Stegostoma tigrinum: one gene and its partner. The protein of the gene in region 1 purifies or fractionates together with the protein of each later gene. This does not show direct contact. Links are inferred from orthologs where the notes say so. Each region holds a gene or a part of one and is shown in the gene's direction. Other genes may lie near its edges.

The links. Proteins that work in one complex are often made in the same cells at the same time.
Region 2: the proteins of lztfl1 (region 1) and bbs7 purify together in Homo sapiens (affinity purification with mass spectrometry; 3 studies listed by BioGRID and IntAct, counting the BioPlex papers as one, with this or other methods). This does not show direct contact. The link is inferred for Stegostoma tigrinum from reciprocal best matches to the Homo sapiens genes LZTFL1 and BBS7.

The regions. Positions count from the first base shown.
Region 1 is NC_081355.1:13,060,600-13,068,679, forward strand, and holds the start of lztfl1 (leucine zipper transcription factor-like protein 1), read left to right. Parts: upstream 1-5,007; 5' UTR 5,008-5,120; coding exon 5,121-5,123; intron 5,124-8,080. UniProt on the Homo sapiens protein: Regulates ciliary localization of the BBSome complex. Together with the BBSome complex, controls SMO ciliary trafficking and contributes to the sonic hedgehog (SHH) pathway regulation. May play a role in neurite outgrowth. May have tumor suppressor function.
Region 2 is NC_081354.1:36,654,477-36,661,931, forward strand, and holds the start of bbs7 (Bardet-Biedl syndrome 7 protein), read left to right. Parts: upstream 1-4,434; 5' UTR 4,435-4,686; coding exon 4,687-4,722; intron 4,723-4,730; exon of another isoform or gene 4,731-4,825; coding exon of another isoform or gene 4,826-4,837; intron 4,838-5,857; coding exon 5,858-5,923; intron 5,924-7,455.

The DNA.
Region 1 (8,080 bases):
TACACATCCTATTTCTATAACATGGTACAACCTGTTTCTAACTTCTATTTAGGACAACCATCTTATTCTAACACACGGATTTATACTTTTTAAATACATGTTAAATAGAGCTGCTACCCTCTTTAACAAACTTACAGTCAAAAGAGTGCTTTCATGAAACTGGATGAATGAATGTGTAGAAACTGTCAAAAAACAGCAATAGTGGGATGAAATCTCATGACCCAGCTACAGGAGATCAGTTTAATATCCTCTATAACTTTATTTAGTACACATATAATTTCTCACTTATTTAGATCATATAGGACTAATATTTTTCACTAACATTACTAACTTTAAAGACAAAAGGCCTCACCTCTTAATTATGCAAGCTCCGACTGGATAGACATTCTAATCCCATCAGGAGTAACAGTCAACATTTCACAAACACTTAACTATCTCCTGCTTCCCCAACCCAGTTGTCACACAAAATTGTGTACAATAAATACAACCATGTACAGCATAGTGCTAAAATTTTAATGCATGTAAAAACTGTGTATAAAGAGGCTACGGTAAAACTGTAATTTGGATTCCATTGCTGCCCCAAACTATGGCACTGCAGATGCTCAATAAAGAGGCTTTATTTGCCACTTACCAATCTCGGTTGCTGTTGAACAGGATCACACATCTCCAACCCTGGCAACATCCTTGTAAATCTTTTCTGAACCCTTTCAAGTTTCACAACATCCTTCCCAGACCAGGGAGACCAGAATTGTACACAGTATTCCAAAAGTGGCCTAACCAATGTCCTGTACAGCTGCAACATGATCTCCCAACTCCTATACTCAATGCACTGACCAATAAACGCAAGCATACCAAGCGCCTTCTTCACTGTCCTATCTACCTGCATCGCCACTTTTAAAGAACTATGAACCTAGACTCCAAGGTCTCTTTGTTCAGCAACACTCACCAGGACCTTACCATTCAGTCTATAAATCCTGCCCTGATTTGCCTTTCCAACAGAGAAGTATACTGAGGATTGACATTACAGAATCACAGGATCGTTATGGCATAGAAAGAGGTGAGTCTGCCAAACATGCTGGTACTCGTTCTATTACATAGTGCCAATCTCCTGCCTTTCCGCCCACATTCCTGCAAACCATTTCTATCTAAGCAATCATCCAGTGCCCTCTTAAATGGCTTTCTTGAACATGTTTTCATCACATTTGCACACCCTTACTACTGTTTGTAAATGTTTGTTACTCACTTTCTAACTTCATTTGCACAACACTTTAAGTCGTCTCATTCTTTTTTATGAGCAGGGATAGGCTCTCCCTATCAACTCTGTACAGCCCACTTATAGTTTTTAAACATCTTTCAATACAATGTGATTGCAACTAACAGATATTAAACTTCCACTGACCTAATTCAGAATCCCTGCTGCTGTTCTGATTTGTTGCTCTCATGTCTGTCTCCCATCTGGTTTCATTTCCTCAACAGAGTGGTGGCTACACTATGGTTTATAAAGCCTGAGTTGGCATCCACCTGGATACCCATGTTCAACCAGAGTGGCCATTGATAAAATTCCCACCTCTGATTTAGAATGTTTTAATTTGAAGCCCATTTCTAACAACCCTAACAATCGGTGACCACAGCATTGGCACTTTACAGTGGAATTGGTGTCCTACATCTGCAGTGGAATCCCAATGGATATACAGGTGACATTGAAAAGAGCAGAAGGACAAGACAGTTTAAATCAGGAAACAACAATTAGTCACTGTAGCATAGGAAGTGTTGAATCACATACAGGGGTTCCCAATTTATGAACATTTGACTGACAAATGCTCTTACTCGTGAAGGTGATCCCACTCAGTGGTTTAATTTTAAATATCTGACATATGAACTTTTCCTGTACTTAACTATGGCTGCTTGATATTGTCCTGTATTGTATTCTTACTTGCATACAAATTGACTTGTGAATAGACTCAGGAATGGAACTGTTTACGACCTGGCCACTGCCTGAATAGAGATTCCACACAGCACAGCTCAGAGTTACCAGAATCCACAGAGGTTTTGGGAATAAAAACCTATAGCCAGTCAATTGTATTTTTGATGAAAGGTCACAACCTGACACGTTAATTCAGTTTCTCTTTCCAAAATTGCTGAATGCTTTCCAAGAGTTTCCACCATTTTCTGTTTTTTACTTTGTCTCAGTGTGCATCCCGGGAATAGACTGTAGAACACGGAGACCTACCTCACAGATTTGCTTGGGACAAATCTTGACAAAAACTTTTGCAACTTTCTCCAGACATCCTTTGCAAAGGTACATTCCAGAAGGAAATGGATGATAGTGTCTACCCACCTCGCCCCACCATCTGCAGCTGCCTTAAAAGCAGTGTGCACTGATGCAGAGAATCGAGATATACATGAAAGATCCCACAGGTAATGTCCTTCTCAGCACTAGCCGAGCGATGTCTCAGAGTTTGTTGGAAAATTCTGGTTATGAGGCATTCTGCCAAATGACCTTGACAGTCTCCTCAGGGAACAACTAGATTTGGTATATTTATTTTACTCAAACTGCTTACGGGTCTCACTACACACCTTTGGAGAAGGTGGGTTCTTAGCCTGGGCCTCCTGGCTGAGAGTTAGGGACATTACAACTGCACCACAGGAGAAACTGCATGAACTGTTTTACAGGTGTTCAGAATCATAAAAATTTTTGATAGAATAAATAGGGAGAAAAGAGTATTGTATACCAGCCGGTGCAAATTTAAGATAATTATCTAAAGAGCAAAACGTGGCAGGAGATTTTCTTTTGCTGTGAGTTGCTATGATCTGGACTATTCTAACTAAAATGGTGGTTGAAGTAGATGCGATTGTAACTTTCATAAAAAAAATTGCATGTACACTAGAAAACATAAAAAAGAGAAAGAGTGGAGGATTTGGACCAATTGAATAGTATAAATGTTTTGACAAAATGTATCCAGCAATCATAAGATAGTATTTGGAAAAGCTTGCACAGGCACAATGGACTGAATGGTCTCCTTGTAAATTATTTTTCAATAAACCCATTTAGAGATGTTATTACATGCCTTGGAAGTAGGCAAGACTTGAATCCAGGTCTCTTAGCTCAGAGTTACAGACACTACCACTACACCACAAGAGCTCTTGTAATCTCCTCATATATTGAATGATTCCTCTGGTCTCTAAATCCTACACCAATGTGTTACTTCTATTGCAGGGAATCGTTCTCATGGGATTCAAGATAGCAAAAGTTTATAATTTTTTGCTTTTCACTTTTGCCAAAAAAAAACTTCTGATGCTGGAAATCTGAAACAAAAACAAAATTTGCTGGAAGAAACTCAGCAAGTATGGCATCATCTGTGAAGAAAAAGCAGAGTCAATGATTCAGGTCTAGTGATCCTTCACTGATAGCTTTCTCTGTACAGATGCTTCCAGACCTGTCGAGTTTCTCCAGCAAGTAGAGCTTCTTTTTTTAAAGAAAAATTAAAATCCTGGCTTCCTATCTCTGTGAAAGCAAGTAATATTTTTGCTTGCGTCAGTGCTATACATTGCAAGCTCTCATTTGCTGGAGTGACTTTGATAGGGAGAAGTGTAGTGTGGTGAGAGTGGAGACTGTAATCAGTACTTATGGGGAAGCTTAAGGTGTCTCTGGTGAAAAATCTGCTACATCTGTCTCCTGAGGGGAAGTGGAAAGACAAGGAGAAACATTTGGTGCTAAGCCCCAACTTCCTAGTTCACACATTGTCAAATGAACTGGTTGCGAGAAAATCACTGGTGTTCAGCCACGCACAGACTGTCGTGTCGGATGCTCAACTCTACATTGCCAGCCCATCAGTGAAAGATCCAGGCTAACAGAAGGCTGTTCCTTCAACAGAAAGTAGCACTAAAATGATAGTTGGCATCTTGGGATGGATGAGACTATCTGCAATGCTGGTCATCGGAATCTGGCTGAGGGATACTGATTCACTTCCAAGATCCAGTTAGCAGAGGAGACGGAGTGTAGCTGGGGTTTGTCACAGTCCCCTTCCCTGACTCCACCTGGTTCATGATAACAAAGTGTAAAGCTGGATGAACACAGCAGGCCAAGCAGCATCTTTGGAGCACAAAAGCTGAGGTTTCGGGCCTAGACCCTTCATCAGAGAGGGGGATGGGGAGAGGATTCTTGAATAGAGAGGGGGAGGGGGACCGAAGATGAATAGAAGATAGGTGGAGAGTATACGTGGGGAGGTAGGGAGGGGATAGGCCAGTCTGGGGAGGACAGAGAGGTCAAAGCGGCGGGATGAGGTTAGTAGGTAGGAAATGGAGTTGCGGCTTGAGGTGGGAGGAAGGGATGGGTGAGAGGAAGAACAGGTTAGGGAAGCGGAGACAGGCTGGGCTGGTTTTGGGATGCAGTGGGGGGAAGGGATGAGCTGGGCTGGTTGTGTGGTGCAGGTTTTGGGATGCAGTGGGGGAAGGGGAGATTTTGAAGCTTGTGAAGTCCATATTGATACCATTGGGCTGCAGGGTTCCTGCAACCTTCGGGTGGCATCATTATGGCACTGCAGGAGGCCCAGGATGGACATGTCGTCTAAGGAATAGGAGGGGGAGTTGAAATGGTTTGTGACTGGGAGATGCAGTTGTTTTTTGCGAACTGAGCGGAGGTGTTCTGCAAAGCGGTCCCCAAGCCTCCGCTTGGTTTCCCCAATGTAGAGGAAGCCGCACCGGGTACAATGGATACAATATACCACATTGGCAGATGTGCAGGTGAACCTCTGCTTAATGTGGAATGTCATCTTGAGACCTGGGATGGGGGTGAGGGAGAAGGTGTGGGGGCAAGTGTAGCACTACCTGGTTCAAGTTCACTTTTTCGAAACTCGTGCTGGTATTCAAGTAATACGTTGTGACATGTTTAGTTTTTTAATATTACAAAACGAGCTGAGGGAGGCTCGGGCTGAGTGCGTGTGCTCACGTGCGTGTGGGGGGGGGGCTCCAGTCACGTGGGCGCGGCCGCGTGACGCGCGCCGTTTCCTTGGTGATGAGTCTGGCGGTCCAGGCCGGGCCTGGTGGCAGGAGGAGGATCCATACCCTCTGTGTATTACAGCGGCATTGCCGTCGGGACCGCGCTCTTCCTGTACGACGATATGGTGGGTGCAATGTTAGAGACATCAAGGCTGTGCCGGTCCTGAAGCAATTCTTCCCCTTCGCGTTACACCCAACTTCCCACCCACTTCCCCACACTGCCCCCCCCTCACCCACTTCCCCACACTTCCCCCCCCCTCACCCACTTCCCCCCCCTCACCCACTTCCCCCCCCTCACCCACTTCCCCCCCCCTCACCCACTTCCCCCCCCCTCACCCACTTCCCCCCCCTCACCCACTTCCCCATGCCCCCCGCCACCCCCTCATCCACTTCCCCACACGCCCCCCCCACCCACTTCCCCACGCCCCCCCCCCACTTCCCCACGCCCCCCCCTCACCCACTTCCCCACGCCCCCCCCACCCACTTCCCCACGCCCCCCCCACCCACTTGCCCACGCCCCCCCCTCACCCACTTCCCCACGCCCCCCCCTCACCCACTTCCCCACGCCCCCCCCTCACCCACTTCCCCACACCGCCCCCTCACCCACTTCCCCACACCGCCCCCCCTCACCCACTTCCCCACACCGCCACCCCCCCACCCACTTCCCCACACCGCCACCCCCCTCACCCACTTCCCCACGCCCCCCCCTCACCCACTTCCCCACGCCCCCCCCTCACCCACTTCCCCACGCCACCCCCTCACCCACTTCCCCACGCCACCCCCTCACCCACTTCCCCACGCCCCCCCCTCACCCACTTCCCCACACCGCCCCCCCCCTCACCCACTTCCCCACACCGCCCCCCCCTCACCCACTTCCCCACACCGCCACCCCCCCACCCACTTCCCCACACCGCCACCCCCCCACCCACTTCCCCACACCGCCACCCCCCTCACCCACTTCCCCACGCCCCCCCCTCACCCACTTCCCCACGCCCCCCCCTCACCCACTTCCCCACGCCCCCCCCCTCACCCACTTCCCCACGCCCCCCCCTCACCCACTTCCCCACGCCACCCCCTCACCCACTTTCCCACGCCACCCCCTCACCCACTTCCCCACGCGCCCCCCCCACCCACTTCCCCAGATGCCCGCCTTCACCCACTTCCCAATGCCTGCCTTCACCCTCTTCACTCCTCCTTCCCCACCCTACTGTCTTCACTACTCCTCCTCCTCGCTCCTGCCGTCTTTCTTCCTCCTCCTCCTCCTCGCCCCGCCGTCTTTGCCCCTCCCTCCTCTTCCTCACCCCCGCAGTCTTGCCTCCCTCACTCCCCCTAGAGTGGACCCCAAGATGGGGTGTCCTTTCAATGGAGCGGGGATTCTGGTGGGCAGTACCACCCCTACCATGTCTGTGTGAATGGGCAGCTGTCAGTGTTGCTCGTGTTAAGAGATGAGGGAAAGACTGTAAAAATCTTTTTTTGTAAAAAAGCTGAAATGTTCAATATGCTGAAACACACTGGCAGCATCTATGGGAGGGAAACACAGTTAACTTTTCAGCTCAATCTTGTGTGTTCAGAACTTGGAAAAGTTTCAGGTGTTCAGAGTCAATACACTGTGGAGGTGGAGAAACACAAGCTGGTCAGGAGAAAGAATGTTGACATATCAGATCAGGACTGGGGAGGAGTAAGGGAGCTGGGAAATAAAGAGGGAGGTGTGGTGGGAGAGAGAGAGAGATAATGGGAACTGCAGATGCTGGAGATTCCAAGATAATAAAATGTGAGGCTGGATGAACACAGCAGGCCAAGCAGCATCTCAGGAGCACAAAAGCTGACGTTTCGGGCCTAGACCCTTCATCAGAGAGGGGGATGGGGGGAGGGAACTGGAATAAATAGGGAGAGAGGGGGAGGCGGACCGAAGATGGAGAGTAAAGAAGATAGGTGGAGAGAGTGTAGGTGGGGAGGTAGGGAGGGGATAGGTCAGTCCAGGGAAGACGGACAGGTCAAGGAGGTGGGATGAGGTTAGTAGGTAGCGGGGGGTGCGGCTTGGGGTGGGAGGAAGGGATGGGTGAGAGGAAGAACCGGTTAGGGAGGCAGAGACAGGTTGGACTGGTTTTGGGATGCAGTGGGTGGGGGGGAAGAGCTGGGCTGGTTGTGTGGTGCAGTGGGGGGAGGGGACGAACTGGGCTGGTTGAGGGATGCAGTAGGGGAAGGGGAGATTTTGAAACTGGTGAAGTCCACATTGATACCATATGGCTGCAGGGTTCCCAGGCGGAATATGAGTTGCTGTTCCTGCAACCTTCGGGTGGCATCATTGTGGCAGTGCAGGAGGCCCATGATGGACATGTCATCAAGAGAATGGGAGGGGGAGTGGAAATGGTTTGCGACTGGGAGGTGCAGTTGTTTTTTGCGAACTGAGCGGAGGTGTTCTGCAAAGCGGTCCCCAAGCCTCCGCTTGGTTTCCCCAATGTAGAGGAAGCCGCACCGGGTACAGTGGATGCAGTATACCACATTGGCAGATGTGCAGGTGAACCTCTGCTTGATGTGGAATGTCATCTTGGGGCCTGGGATGGGGGTGAGGGAGGAGGTGTGGGGACAAGTGTAGCATTTCCTGCGGTTGCAGGGGAAGGTGCCGGGTGTGGTGGGGTTGGAGGGCAGTGTGGAGCGAACAAGGGAGTCACGGAGAGAGTGGTCTCTCCGGAAAGCAGACAGGGGAGGGGATGGAAAAATGTCTTGGGTGGTGGGGTCGGATTGTAAATGGCGGAAGTGTCGGAGGATAATGCGTTGTATCCGGAGGTTGGTAGGGTGGTGTGTGAGAACGAGGGGGATCCTCTTGGGGCGGTTGTGGCGGGGGCGGGGTGTGAGGGATGTGTCGCGGGAAATGCGGGAGACGCGGTCAAGGGCGTTCTCGATCACCGTGGGGGGAAAGTTGCGGTCCTTAAAGAACTTGGACATCTGGGATGTGCGGGAGTGGAATGTCTTGTCGTGGGAGCAGATGCGGCGGAGGCGGAGGAATTGGGAATAGGGGATGGAATTTTTGCAGGAGGGTGGGTGGGAGGAGGTGTATTCTAGGTAGCTGTGGGAGTCGGTG
Region 2 (7,455 bases), on another chromosome or scaffold:
TAGACAGAACGTGTAAAGTGCACACAAACAGTTGCCCAGTGCAGGAAACAAATCTGGGACCTTGCTCGATCAAGTCCTAGAGACTTGATTCTTCAGGAATGTTGATATCTTCTGAAATATAGTTCTGGTCATAGTTTATACTCACATTGATATTGACCAAGGAGTGTTAACAAGGAGGTAACAATAGAACATGTCGACAATTGTAATATAAGAAGTCACCTGACAAAAGAGCAGTGCTCCAAAAACTAGTGATTTCAAATAATCCTGCTGGACTATAACCTGGTATCATGTGACTTCTGACTTTGTGTGTCCCACTCCAACACTGGCACCCCCATATTATTAATTTAAAATGAGCACAGACCCAACCTGCTCAACATTTCCTCATTAGTCTGATTCCTTAGATGAAGGCATCTGTCTTATGAATATTCTCTCATTATGAATATTCTCTCAACTGCTTCCAATGCAAGTATTTTTCTCTTAAGAAGACAAAAAACATACTGTAGTTCTAGTCTCACCAATGCCAGATACAACTGTGTCAAGACTTCCTGACAGTTCATTTTCCTTGTAATAAAGGCCAATGTTATCTTTACCTCCTAATTACAAACTGATCCTTTGTAATTCGAGTCAAAGAGCATCCACATTCCACTACACTGCAACATTCTACCGTCTCCCTCCTTCTAAATAATACTCTGCCTTTCTTCTAGCTGACGTGGACAATCTAATTTGCCCCACACTTCATGTCAAACTTTTGCCCACCAATTAATACCTCTTTATATCTTCATGACTAGCTTTCCTGTCTAACTTGTGTTGTCAGAAAGCATGGCTGCAATTGGACCCTTCAAGTCACAGGCAGATTGTAAGAAGTTAAGATCCCGGAGGTGATCCATGGCACTTCACTATTTATCCCAGCTCTCTCTGGCTACCCAGCCTCTTTCCGTGCTGTTGTATCACTCACAAATCATTTTATCTTGTGTGGTTCTTGTCAAATGCCTTTTGGAAATCCGAAATGATACCACTCTGTCCACCCTGGCTGTTACATCTTCAAATAACACACAAGCTTGTTAAAAATGCTATGCGTTGCACAAAACCATGTTGATTCTGCCCTATTATATTACAATTATCTCCATGCCCTATTGCTACCTCCTTGATAATGACAGCATACTATATTCTTGAGGTTATACTCACATCTGTATAACCATGACCAGTGCTATATCTTAAGATATCAGATGACCCTGAAGAATCAAGTCTGTGTCTTTAGAACTTGCATTTTATCAAACAGTTAATCCCTGAACACTATGGACAATCTAGCATAGCCAATCTACCTAATGACCACATCGTTGGACTTGTTCAAAAAAAGGACAAATCCCATCTGGCCAATTACTTTTCCAGTCGATATTACATTCCCAGTCTATCTTTGATCTTCAGGGAGGTGATGGAAGCTGTTACTGAGTAAATCAATTTGGCTGAAGACTGGTATCTGTGGGAAGAACTGGGATAGACCATTCACTCAGCACTGCAGTACAAATATAGATGAAATTGGTTCAGCCTCGTCTTTCACACAGATGTGCTGGGTCTTCCAGAATTGAAGATGGGTGTGTTTGTGAAGCTTCTGCTGCTCCGCCTCCTGTTAGTTCTTTAATTATTAATTATTCACAGCTGGAACAAAAGCAGGAATGCAGACACTAGATCTGTTGTTTGTGGGAATTACTTTGCTTGGTCTCTTGCAGCTGCTTCTGCTGCATGGTATATGTTTTAGCTTTCCCAGGCTGAAAATTTAATTTTAGATATGCTAGGTGCTCCTCCTGGAATGTTTTTTGTACCCTTCACTGAACCAGTGTTGATCTCACAGCTTAATGGTTATGGTGGAATGGGGATAGGTTAGTCCATGAGTTACAGGCTGTGATTGAATACTATTCTGCTGATGATGGCTGTCAGCACCTCCAATAGATAATAAAATGTGAGGCTGGATGAACACTGCAGGCCAAGCAGCATCCCAGGAGCACAAAAGCTGACGTTTCAGGCCGAGACCCTTCATCAGAGAGGGGGATGGGGTGAGGGTTCTGGAATAAATAGGGAGAGAGGGGGAGGTGGACCGAAGATGGAGAGAAAAGAAGATAGGTGGAGAGGAGAGTATAGGTGGGGAGGTCGGGAGGGGATAGGTCAGTCCAGGGAAGACGGACAGGTCAAGGAGGTGGGATGAGGTTAGTAGGTAGCAGATGGAGGTGCGGCTTGGGGTGGGAGGAAAGGATGGGTGAGAGGAAGAACAGGTTAGGGAGGCAGAGACAGGTTGGACTGGTTTTGGGATGCAGTGGGTAGAGGGGAAGAGCTGGGCTGGTTGTGTGGTGCAGTGGGGGGAGGGGACGAACTGGGCTGGTTTTGGGATGCGGTGGGGGAAGGGGAGATTTTGAAGCTGGTGAAGTCCATATTGATACCATTGGGCTGCAGGGTTCCCAAGCGGAATATGAGTTGCTGTTCCTGCAACCTTCGGGTGGCATCATTGTGGCACTGCAGGAGGCCATGATGGACACGTCATCTAAAGAATGGGAGGGGGAGTGGAAATGGTTTGCGACTGAGAGGTGCAGTTGTTTATTGCGAACCGAGCGGAGGTGTTCTGCAAAGCGGTCCCCAAGCCTCCGCTTGGTTTCCCCAATGTAGAGGAAGCCACACCGGGTACAGTGGATGCAGTATACCACATTGGCAGATGTGCAGGTGGACTGACCTATCTCCTCTCCACCCATCTTCTTTTCTCTCCATCTTCGGTCCGCCTCCCCCTCTCTCCCTATTTATTCCAGAACCCTCACCCCATCCCCCTCTCTGATGAAGGGTCTAGGCCCGAAACGTCAGCTTTTGTGCTCATGGGATGCTGCTTGGCCTGCTGTGTTCATCCAGCCTCACATTTTATTATCTTGGATTCTCCAGCATCTGCAGTTCCCATTATCACCTCCAATAGATACCCAGTTTTGACTTGCTAGATCTGTTTGACATACAACACATTTAACACAGTGGTAGTGTGACACAACATGATAGAGTGCATCTTTAGTGTCAAGACAAATTAAATTGTCTACAAAATTATTACAATAAACACAGGTTCCTCTCATCAGGAAAAAGATGAAGTGTTGCAACCTTACCAGTATTCGCAGTAAGATGGAATTTATGCCAGTTGAGATTCTCATTCACAACAGAAGAACCAATATTAAAAAGTAGAAATCAGCCTACACAATTCATCTCTGAACAACAGAGTAACTTACACCACATCTCCCGTTTTGCATGTGAACACTAAAGTCTGAGATAATCATTTATGAATACTATACATGGAAGAGTTGAAAAACAGTACAACCACAGAAGTTCTTTTCTATATCGGGTTTCTAAAATACGCTTGGTGTCATAAGCTCCCAAGGCAGAACGGAACTTGAACTGTATGGTAATGGCTGAAATGCCCCTCTATTTTCTTAGATTTAGAATTTTTATAAAGGCAGAGAAAGTATCCCTAGTGGACCTCTGGACAAGAAGGTGTAGGTTCAAGACCCACCCAACTCATGAGGTGTGTCAGGACATGTCTGAACAAGGTGATTAAAATAATGATTTTCTCAGACTTTTCCCGCTAGTGCGTGCGGTTTAGTGGACTGATATGAAGTTTGATTGCTGCAAAATAAAAAGCTGGTCAAAATGGAGGTGTTTTTATCTCCTTCCAATTTCTACCTAGTGAACTTCTTCCGACCTCCATGCCCAAGGATTTGAAATAACTCTCAGACTCCAACAGTCACACAGAGAGTTTAAATGGGGCAATCTTAGGAAATGTTTAGGGAGGACTAAAGGCTGCACCCAAAAAAAATCAGATCAAAATTCACAGACTGTGTACAACTCCAGGAGGCCTACTTTCTCTATCTGTTTGGGTTCAGTGAAGCATAGCTATGCAGAGTGGTTCCGCACAAGGCTTCTGTGCCAAGAGATGATGTAAACCAAAATAAATTGCTTATGCCCAAATGAACTTTTGCATTGAATCTTGGCATCTTAAGATGAAAACTGGCTTCTATGTTTCCTATATTGCAACGGTAACCAAACTTCAAAAAGTGCTTCATTGGTTATAAAGTACTTTGAGACATCTGGTGGTCATGAAAGCAGCTACATAAGATGAAGGGTCTAGGCCCGAAACGTCAGCTTTTGTGCTCCTGAGATGCTGCTTGGCCTGCTGTGTTCGTCCAGCCTCACATTTTGTTATCTTGGAGTCTCCAGCATCTGCAGTTCCCATTATCTCTCACATAAATGAAAGTCACGGTTTTTAAAAAATCCTGACTCTGAGAAGGATGTCGCCTTCACTTTCATGAAGTGATTGGGGAAGCGGACCCTGCCAATGAGCGCTGAGTTTAAATGCCTGTGCGATCTCCGAAAACCAATGATGTGTGGTGTTTGAGACGCCTTTGATTACCATAGAAACGGAATGAGCAGGCCCCTGTGTGGTTTTGTACAGATTTAGGAGTTGTTTTATAAATAAGTAGTCTGTGGGTTTGGTTGCTGTTTTTCGCCCAGTTTGATGCATTGAATGCCCAGCGATTTCTGGCATGATTTTCATATGCGGCGTTGTCTTTTTCCCGGTGCTTTGTCCGTAATAGTTTTAAAGTCGGACCCAGCCGTCGTCTCAATCCGCTCGTTTTAGGAATCTTTACAGAATAAGAATTTCCTGCGTCCATGGATTTAAATTTAAACCGCGTTGACTACCTGCAGGTTGTAGACGTGATTCCGTTATCACCTGGGTTGGAATAAGAGGCGCTAATAGCTGTTAAATCCAGTAGATGGAGAATAATTTTGACACCTTTGCCGTTTGAGGATGGGAGTGTTGGTAAAGATTTTAGTTAGTAAAGATAAACTAGCATACATATTGCTACACAAGTGCTGGATTTCATGAGAAGAGAATGTCTTGTAAACAAATTAGTTTCATGTTTAGAATTTCTGTTAGGTAATACTTAACAAATCTATGTGAAGTGAACTCCATTATTTCAGGCAATAGAATTCCAAGCAATGTCCTGGTCCCAAAGTTCATCTTCAGTTTGTATTACCAGAGGGATGATAAGGTCGCTGGAATTAGCACACTGACTTTGGAAGGAAGTGGAAGTTCCTGTTCCTGAGCCAGATTTGTTGACCATTGCTCAGAAATATAAATGTTGAACTTAGCAATCTTTTACTGTATACGTCCTATTATTGTGTCTACTTGAAAACATTAAGTTGGTATAAATTTGATACTGTTGTTCTGATTTCAATGATGTGATTAAATCATCCTCCTGCACACATTAGCTGAGATTTTTTTAACAGCCAGTCAAAAATCCTATCTCCCAAAAGAGCAATTGTAACTTCCAACTTACAAAAGTTGTACTTACTGTGGTGATAGCACAATAATGGTTATTTTGCAGGCTAGGTGGATTGGCCATGCTAAATTGCCCATAGTGTTCAGGGGCGTGTGGGTTATCGGGGTATGGGTCAGGGTGGGGTGCTTCAAGGGGTGGTGTGGACTTGTTGGGCTGAAGGGCCTGTATTCACACTGTTGGTAATCTAATCTAATCTAGTTCTTCTGATGAGAAAGGATGTATGACACAAAGGATCAGTAAAGATGCAAAAAGTTGTCAAGAAATTTAGGATGGTCTAATAAAGGGTGATTTTTTTTCTGTTGTATGAAGTAGACTGGGGCATCAAGACTCCTGTATCTGTAATGGGCTTGTGAAACTTTAGTAGAGTGTTACAGTTACACTAACGTTGGTCCAGTTTTTCTTTGACCCATCCCATAGTGTGGTGCATTCAGGGACTAGAATAATCAATGTTTATTTGTTGTGATGTTGCTGTAAGTAGCCCTTTTTTCTTCTCCTAGGTAGGAGTGACTTCCCAAAAGACCATGAGGCTGCTACCTGCATCAGGACGCAGAGCAATCCAAAAGGTTAATTCACATTAAGTTAACACATGTAACTTGTTTTTTCAGTTCCAGGCAAAAGTGTGGGAGAAAGGAAAAAAGATGTCCTATCCTTGATGTAGCACCACGTAGTTTTCTCAGCAGGGATGTTTTTACTGTATGTTGTGACATTATTGGAAAGCATATTTAAGTAGAAATTTGCATTTTAGTTTTATAATGGCCAAACAATAGACAGATCTTACAGCTAAGTGATCATATCTAAAGTCTGCAGGCCTATCACATGAACAGTGAATGATGCTGGACAAGTAAAAGAACTGGAGAAAGACAGTCTGCAAATATCTCAATCCAGCTCAGTGGTGGGGGAAAAAAAGACAAGGTTGAACCATGGCATATATCTTCACCCAGCAGTGCCAAATAGACAATTCATCTCGTTGTCCTCCTGAGGTCCCAATTAGTTTTCAGCTAATTTGATTCACTCCCGTGTGATATTGAGCAGCGACTGAAGGCATGGATAGTGCAAAAGCTACGGACCCTGACAACGTTCCAGCAACTGTGCTGAAGACTTGGGTACCAGTTTTAACTGTGCCCCTAATGAAACCATTCCATTATGTCTACATCATTGCCAGGTAGCTGCCAATGTGGAAAATTTCCCAGTTATGATCTGTCCACACAAAGGATAAATCCAATTCACTGAATTACTGCCCTTTTGGCCTCTCTCCATCATGAACAAAACGTTGGAGAGGTCACTCTCGCTGCTGTCAAATGGCACTTGCTTAGAAAATTCTTTTTGTTGAACCTTGGTTTGAGTTGCTCACGGGCTACAGAGCTCCTAACCTTATTACATCCTTGATCCCAAGATTGTCACAAGAGCTGAATTCTAGAGGTGAGGTCAGAGTGATTATCAAGTGCAGCCTTGATGTTAAGGACAGTGTGTGGTGTCAAGATGTCCCAGCAAAACTGGCTTCAATGGGAATTAGAGCCACGTCTTATACAAAGGAAGACACTTGTTGTCGGAGATCAATCATCTCAGTCCTGGAGTAACATTAAAGGAGTTTTTCAGTTTAGGTGTTTTCCAATCAGTCTGTTCAGGGATATTATTAAACACTTTCAAAGCAGGTGACATTTGATCCCAGATCTCTCGGCTCGAGGTCGGGACACATCCACTGTAACTCCAGAGATCTTAGTTCCTCAAGCTAATGCCTTAGTCCCAACAATCTTCAGCTGTTTTAGCAATGATCTTTTTGCCACCATAATGTCAAAAATAGGGATGTTGCTGCTAATTGTACGACATTTAGCAGCATTCACAACTCGAGATACTGAAATAGTCCACGTGCAAATGCAACAAGACCTGGACATCATCCAGGCTTGAGTTGATTAGTGGTAACATGCTAAGCACTTATGTGGCATGAAACAATCATCTCTAACATGGGAGAATTTAACCATCTCCCCTTGGCATTCAATGACCTCATCATGACAAAAATTGTGACTGTCCACATCCTGGGGTTACAGCTGACCTGAAACTAAACTGGTTTAGCCATGTAAATCCTGTATTCACAAGA